Linked DNA regions of Caenorhabditis elegans. The protein of the gene in region 1 purifies or fractionates together with the protein of each later gene. This does not show direct contact. Each region holds a gene or a part of one and is shown on either strand. Other genes may lie near its edges.

Evidence for each region.
Region 2: the proteins of mlc-2 (region 1) and unc-54 purify together in Caenorhabditis elegans (affinity purification with mass spectrometry; 2 studies listed by BioGRID, with this or other methods). This does not show direct contact.

Annotation. Positions count from the first base shown.
Region 1 is NC_003284.9:17,455,174-17,458,507, reverse strand, and holds mlc-2 (Myosin regulatory light chain 2), read left to right. Parts: upstream 1-1,921; 5' UTR 1,922-1,940; coding exon 1,941-2,078; intron 2,079-2,125; coding exon 2,126-2,258; intron 2,259-2,312; coding exon 2,313-2,461; intron 2,462-2,514; coding exon 2,515-2,607; 3' UTR 2,608-2,716; downstream 2,717-3,334. Other genes in the region: C36E6.2 (Nbr1 FW domain-containing protein), read right to left, coding at 3,073-3,260.
Region 2 is NC_003279.8:14,860,200-14,865,197, forward strand, and holds the start of unc-54 (Myosin-4), read right to left. Parts: upstream 3,284-4,998; 5' UTR 3,252-3,283; coding exon 3,189-3,251; intron 2,627-3,188; coding exon 2,498-2,626; intron 2,450-2,497; coding exon 2,309-2,449; intron 1,828-2,308; coding exon 1,371-1,827; intron 1,291-1,370; coding exon 506-1,290; intron 454-505; coding exon 1-453. UniProt on the Caenorhabditis elegans protein: Required for muscle contraction.

The DNA.
Region 1 (3,334 bases):
ACGCAGTGATTTTTGATTTTAGGATTTGCAGCTATTTTTGAAATCAATAATTTTGATGTCATTGAATAACAGACAAAAATTGTGTTTCGAACTATACTCTCATTGGAGACAATTCAGAAACGATTCAGAAAAAAAAACCTTCCATCAGAATTAGTGTGACAAGAGGTTCTTACTCATATCCTAAATTAACAAGGATAACTTTTTTGATTCCTCAACTTTCAAACTTTTTCATCTGATTTTCTATTGAGTGTTCTGTCTACCAGTGCTCTTATCTGAAAACAGCTTTTAAGATAATGCGTCAGCTGGCAGAAACGCTTTTAATTTTGCTTCCTGTTTGTTAACTTATTTTTGAAACGTTTTACTTCGAAAAGAGTTAATTTTTTGGTTTGTTTGTAAATTTGAAAAAATCATTTAATGTTTATTATGAGCGTATTACAAATGTTCGTAAAAGTTATTATTATTATCACTCCACAATTTCCGTTTGTAAAATGAATAATTGAATTTTTTTTTCCAATATACATCAAACAAAATTGTGAAAAAATTGCTTTAACGAAATTGAAGCATAAACAATAGTTCTAATTCCAATTACAACAATTTGTGTAAATCAAATGTTTCCTCTGAAAACTTCAAACAGTAAACCATTAATGTTTTGAAAAGTACGATGATGGTCTGGAAAACGCGCTTTGAAAATTTGTTACAACACGTTAGAATCACAAGTTCAGATTAGCTGTCGCCTCTAAAAATCAATTGTTGAACAATGTCTTCTTCAATTTTTTGATAATCAGCAAGCACAACTACTAGAAACAAAATATACAATTTTAAAGTTGGCAAAGAAACATTGGATACAATTTTCCAGTCGCTTGGCATTTTTGTTGAACATAATTTCAATTTTTCGAAAAATTTATGTTTTGTAATGTTTTATTTTGATTTCCATACTTATGAAGTAGTAAAGATTTCTACTGGGCTCATGAGATACAAAACAATCTGAACATTCAATTTTTTATCTTCGGAAAAGTTCTTGCTAGAAAAACAATAAAAACCACTTATAAACATTCCTTTCAATTGTTCTCTTTTTACGAACTTGTTAATTTGTCTTCAGCCATTAGAAACAATATTCGATGTTACATGTTTTCATTCAACATTCAAAGTTATATTCTTTCTAATTCCTATTTTGTGTTAATGGGCCACCCTCAGTGCAACTCTGATCATTCATCTCCCAAAAATCCCTAGATTCCCTGCTCTCCACCCTCGCTTTTCTGCGCGCAGCAAAAAGCCTACCACCTTAACTTTTACCTGCTTTTGAGAGAGATGTACTTGAGAAAATATTCGAAGCCAAACAGTTGGCTTTTCCAAAAATTCTCTCCCCCATGCGTTGCCGCAACTCTGTAGATATTTGCGTTTGTCGTTTCTTCACAAACAGATATTGCGTATATCTTCCCGGCCGTGTGAGGGTGATCAGAAAGTCTGAGATCCCCAAAGAGAGCACAGACACGGCGCACGGATCACGGGCACTGCTCTTTCTAGCGCTCTTTGTGTCGAGCTTCTGCTTGGGACACATTATCTCTGCTGGCAAAACTGATCGCTGCCCGCTGTGTTACACTCTATCTCAAACGGCATCCCGGGAATCTGCCACCCTCCACCAATTGCCTACTAACTTTGCCCGCCGTGGAGAGAGCACCTCCTCTCGGTCTCTTTTCGTATCACATTCCTCCCATCCAGCTACTCCTCCTTCCCATACGCCTACCAACCAACCATTATTATCTCAATGCTCTCGACAAGATCGGGACTTGGAAAAGGCTTCTTCTTCATACTTTTCATGGGTGCATTTTTAATTTTAATTTGTTCGTTTCCCAAGCAATTTACTTCTATCATTGTTTCGACAATTTTGTGTGCTACCTGTAAACAAATAACTGAGTTTCAGGTAGAGAACCTTTTCCAACATGTCCAAGGCCGCCAAGAAGAAGTCCTCAAAGAAGCGCTCGGGATCCGAGGCCGCCCAATTCGACCAGAAGACCATCCAGGAGTTCAAGGAGGCCTTCGGAATCATGGATCAGAACAAGGACGGAATCATCGACAAGGTTAGCTTTTTTTAAGTTTTAAAATGATACTAATGAACAATTTTTAGTCTGACCTCAAGGATCTCTACGCATCCATGGGACAAATCGCCCCAGACAGCCAGATCGACGCCATGATCAAGGAGGCATCCGGACCAATCAACTTCACCGTCTTCCTCACCCTTTTCGGGGAGAGATTGACAGGTAGGCTTTTCAGATTTTCTAATGGAATTCAATTCATTATTGCAATAATTTCAGGAACTGACCCAGAGGCCACCATTGTTGGAGCTTTTGCTATGTTCGATAAGAAGGACTGCGGAAAGATCAAGGAGGACGACCTTATCAAGATCCTTCAAAACAAGAGAGGAGAGCCATTAGACGAGGATGAGGTCAAGGCTATGTACAAGGTAAATTCATTCTTTCTGAAATCATTGAAACTTACCAATTCCTCTTCTTTCAGGGAAAGCCACCAATCGAGGGAGGAGAGGTTGACTACAAGGCATTCGCTCACCTCATCACCACCGGAGCCCAAGACGAGCTCGCCAGCGCCTAAACATCCGGCAATTGCACACAAATCTTACATTCTTTCAAATAATACTTTCTCATTTATTTCTCCAATTATAATCTTTCAATGGATTAGTGCAATAAATGGTGGTGATAAAATTAGTTGATACCAATGACTTCTAATGTTATTTTATAAAAAGGCTAATAGGTATTGGGGAAAAAAGTGATGAATAGTTTGAAAAAGAAATGCGAGAGGTGGAAAAGGCAACAAATCTGTACTGGGTGTCTATCACAATTGGAACAAATCTTAATGAGAAAATATGTTTCAATAAGGTTCATTACAGAGTTACCAGATGTCTGATAACCCGAGCTACGTTGAATTTTAAAAGTAAAATAGTTAGAAGATTACTTTTGATTCAATAACTGCATTGAAATTTACATTTGATTAAGATATCCCACGGTAAATAATTGATGATCATCACAATAATAACAATAGAATTTACAAGGTCTCGAATCATTCCATCATGTCCTCTTGAGGTGGATCAGGCACTGGAGATGGATGTGTCCCACTGCTACTTGGTCCTTCCACAAATGACATCACAGCGAGTTGCCGATGGAATGGATCCATTGGTTGCGCGGAGACTTCCATCGCGGCTTCTGCTTCAGTAAGTGGCCGCACTCGAATGATAACCCAGATTGATTCTGAAAATGTGGAAACATTAAAATTATGAGGTTTCTGAAGTAGCTGAATAATATTTAAGTCTTTGAAGAAATTC
Region 2 (4,998 bases), on another chromosome or scaffold:
GAAATGTGGGTGAGTCTTGTTGAGCATAGTCATCAAGTTGTTGAGAGACTCTCTGTAGAGCATAGAGACGGTCATGAAAGATCCGGACTTTCCCTTCTTCTTTCCACCGCCACCTCCCTCCTTGGCCTTAGCGGCGGCCTCTTCCTGGGTGGTGTAGTCTTGCCAGATCTCGACGAGAAGATCGTTTCCCTTGGATTGTTTCATTGCCGAGACAACGGTGTCGTTGAGGGGGTCCTTGTTCTTCTCGAGCCAGTTCAAGCAGTTGTAACGCACAGTTCCGGCGTAGTGCCGCATGGCGAAGTGAGCTTCTCCTTGCTTTCCCTTTGGTGGCTTTGGCTTCTCGAAGTTTGGATGCTTGCCAAGATGTTGATCGACAAGCTTGGAAGCGAGGGTCAAATCAGTAGCCTTTGGTACGATACACTCTTCATCAAGCATGGAGATAATACCGAGTGGCTGAAAAATAAGAATTGATCAAAATACATTTAAAATTTCAATTCAATCTTACCTTCTCAATAAGTTCGATACACGCTTGCAAATCAAGTCCGAAATCGATGAAGACCCATTGAATACCCTCACGGGCGTATTCTTCCTGTTCAAGGACGAACATGTGATGGTTGAAGAATTGTTGGAGCTTCTCGTTTACGAAGTTAATCCACAACTGCTCGAAGGAGTTGAAGTCGAAGATTTCGAAACCGGCGATATCGAGCACACCGATGAAATAATCACGATCAATACCCTTTTGATCCAGAGTGAGGTTACACTTCTTGACAAGCCAGTTGAACACACGGGAGTAGAGACCCTTGGCCATGGCTCCGACAGCCCAATTGACTTGTTCGCAGTTCTGTCCCTTGGATACCCATTCGGTTCCGACCTTGACACGTGGCTTGGTCAAAGCCTTGAGGAACTCCTCGCATCCGATTCCGTACATGTTGGATGCCTTCTCGGCCTCATCGGTACCATCTGGCTCAGCTTGCTCTTCACGTGGGCGTTGCTTGAACTTCATGTTACCCATGTGCATGTGAGCGGACATGAGGCGGTAGCAATCCTGCTTCTCGACGGCAGAGAAGTTGAGGATGTCGAAAGCTTCATCAGTAAGTTGGAACTCTTCGACGTCATCGATTCCGTCAATGATCAACTCGGCCTGGGCGACGAACCAGTAATCCTTGATTGGCAAGTCAAGAAGAAGTTCCTTCTTGAGCTCTGGACGGAAGTCAGAGTAGATTTGGTAGAAGATGTGGTAGCAACGCTCTCCTGGAGCTTGACGGATGACACGAGATTTCTCGAGCAAGTCTGCAAAATTTATAGTTTAAAACAATAGTTGCATAATTTTTATTGAGCTATGCTAGAATATAAATCAAAAAGTAACTCACAATGCTCGATATCGCAAGATGCGAGGCGTCCGTGCTTGTTGAAGTGGATACGGATGAACTTTCCGAAACGGGATGAGTTGTTGTTACGGACAGTCTTGGCGTTACCGAAGGCTTCAAGTACTGGATTGGTCTGGACGATTTGGTCCTCAAGGGTGACCTTCTTCTTATTTGGATCAACTTCAGCTCCACCTTCCTGTTGGGAGGCACCGACAGCGGCGAAGTAGCAAATAACCTTCTTGGTGTTCTCAGTCTTTCCGGCTCCAGATTCTCCGGTAATGAGCATAGACTGGTTCTCGTGGTCTTGGAGCATGTTACGGTAGGCTTCGTCAGAGACAGCGAACAAATGTGGTGGCATTTCTGTCTTTCTCTTTCCCATGAACATACGGGCGCAAGAGTCGGTGTAGATTGGGAGACGCTTGTATGGGTTGATGACAACGCAGAAAAGTCCGGAGTAGGTCTGAAATAGGAAACATTCTAGTTTCGATTTTTAAATACTGCAGGATTCAATCCCTTTGTTTAATTTTATGTTCAGTTGCATTCCCTTTAAGTTCTTCGAAATATAGACCCCTGTTACTTCTAACTTGTGCAATGAATCAAGCAGATCTTCTTCATCTTCTTTTCTTCAAACGTTTTTTCTTAGAAAAATATATCCTCACAATACCTTCTCTCTTCTTTGCCATCCCCAATGGCAGTATCTGATGCAAGGGAGCCTGTGGGGCTCCCGTCATCCACAGTGTAATGTAAGATGGTTCAGAGATTCAGAAGAGAGGCAGAGATAGCCTCATCCCACTCAATTGATGAGAGAATGGGATAGAGAGAAACATTTGAAAACGAGAAGAAAAGAAGATAGAGGGAAGGAGTTTCGGGATTTTATGGGAATTTAGAAGAAGAATATGAATGATTCTCAATGCTTAACTTTAAGTTTCAATGAAACTTACGTAGATGAGCATAGCAGCGTAACGGGAACGCAAGTTATGGAGGACAGAGGCGTCGTTGAGGAAAGACAAGTTGGACATGTCTTCGGTCTTCTCGAACTTTGGTGGATTCATTTCTTGAACCAACTCCTTCTTGAGGGTGACCTGAATCACACTACATTGAAAACCGTAATCATTAGCTTAAAAACGAACCTCATTTCCGCGAGCGGTGACGATGGTGACCTGGTCTCCCTTGGTGGCGGTGATTTCTCCGGCAAGGTATCCCTCTTCTGGATCTGGGATCCAGACGTTCTTCTTGGAGTCATAAGGCTTAGATTGATCCTGAAATTACAATAATGGTACAAAAGAGATCAGAATTCAGAAATATATCACTTCTAAAGAATACCAACTTGTGTTGAAAAATGGTCTAAACCGCTTCACACTTTAGACCCATGAATGGAATGGAATCAAAAAGTAAAATCAAGGTTAAGCTTGTGGTGTAGTCAAAATAAATGTGCCGTCTCAAAATACAGTACTACTGCAGCACAATGTGTCACAAAATTCCAAGTGCAATGCAAAAATTTAAGAAAGGAAGATTTCAATGATTTCAAGGGAAAGATGATCTTGAAGCTAAATCTATGAAAAATTAGAAAACAGAAATAAACATTGATTACAAGGATTACAAGGCAAGCTCAAATCTTCTACCTGAATTTAAAAAATCTATAAGTGTAAAATGGCAGACTTTAACTCAGTTGTATGTTAAAAATCTAGAATTTCAAAAATAAATGCTCAGTTTTGTTAAAATTAGATACTTATGGAGTACTATACGATTTACTCTATAGAAATGAGCATAACAATAAAGACAAATGAAAGAAAAATAAATAAATAAAAAATAAATACTCACCTCCAAAACCTGCTCTCTGGTACGGCGGAGATATTGCCATCCTGGGTCCTTCTCGTGCTCCATGATTTCTCGCTTCTTTCAAATGGTTTCTCTACCTCAAAACTAATGTGGTGCTCCCTTAGTCGAGGTTGATGATGCGAGTGATGAGTGCCTGCTTCTTCCTCGGCAGGAGGATGTTGGCACCCGCAAGCCACGCCCCTCTTTGGGGATTCTACGAGGTGTAAAGCTGTGTGCGGCAGCGGCAGCGGCGGGAGAGACGGGAACCCGGCTTCCCGGGAATACACGAAGCGAGAGACGCCTACGCGTAGTGGAGGGTGCCAGAGAAGATAGTGGAAGTCTCAAGAATTCCATTGGAGCACGAAGAAAAAACCAGGGATAGAGATAGATCGGGAGTTGGTAAGATCGGGAAAAATGAATTCAGAGAGTACGGTCGGTCAACTTTTTTTATAGGAAAGTGCAGAACAGTGATAAAAGGAATAAGATAGAATGTTTACATACAACCAGTGAAAATAGAATACCAGTTTGATTAATGGTTCTTAAACAGATCTTCAGCCTCCTCTTGATAATCTTCCACGGTTCACCACTAGATCTTCAGATTTTAAGCAAATCAATACATTTACGACCTAGTTAACTTGCCTTTGCATTACTCTTTTTACAGAGACCAGTGAAAACCGAAAATACTCACTGCAGTATTCTAAGCGGCAAAGCTCTAATATCAACCCTAAAATTGTTGATCTGAAATTGTTTCAGTGCAGTTTTCCTTTAATTTTTTTTGCAAAAAAATCAAGAAAATTGTTATAACAATTCTTTCAAAAAAAAAATCAAAAAAATTTTTAGACCAATTCTCCAAAAAAATCACAATTCTTTAAAAACCTCCCGGAGTGTTTACCTACACTTCCTGAAAAACTTTCAAAGTTTGCAAAAAAGCATTTAGAGCAATTATGCAGGTCTCTAAAGTAGTGGTTAAATGAGACAATTTCAGATCGATATTTTAGGGGTTGAGAGAAAAGTATTGCTGCTTAAAATTTTGCAGTGACATACCTTTCGTGACATAATCTAAAACACTTCAGATGAAACATGTCTCATTTTGAAGTTTGAGGGTAAAATGTAAAAATTTCCTTGTTAGAAATGCATTACAAATAAAGTCTGCAAAATTGATACTAACCTACTTTGGAGTCGAAGTAAGTTTTAAGACTATTTTTATTGATACGTAGAGGAGAGGGGGGCAAAAATATTTAATATTTGATTACGGTACTGCGATTCAATGCTACAGTAATAATTTTGATCAGATGGATTCGAGGTATATCATTGTGGCGGACAATCGATTTGGAGGCACCTGTAATACTTATCAATTCTACTCATTCGAACTTCAAGTTGCACCAATCAATTTTTCGAGCCTTGGTAACTACTATGAAGTTGTCGCGTTTGCTTTAAAAGGTCTCCTGATAATAGTATCTGTCTAAAAATTTACGAAAAGGCTCATAAATCATTCTCATGATAGTATGTATGTAACTGGATAGTCTTTCCGTTTGCTTTATCTTCTTCAAACATTTTCTTCAGATTTTTGTGCTTCTCCAGCAAATCAGCTTCTCTCCAAATCCCACAATCTCATACTTCATCCTGACGAAAACAATTCGCGGATGCTGTAAGACAACACGGGAATATCACGAAACCCCTAGAGACCCAGACAAAAGTAACAACTGATTCTTCGTCTCGCGCTCTCCTTGATTGCAACACTATCTCCAGGCGCCTAGGAGTTTGAAGGCATGTGGGAGCGCTTGGAGCATCCAGCAGCATTTTCTGGGTTCCA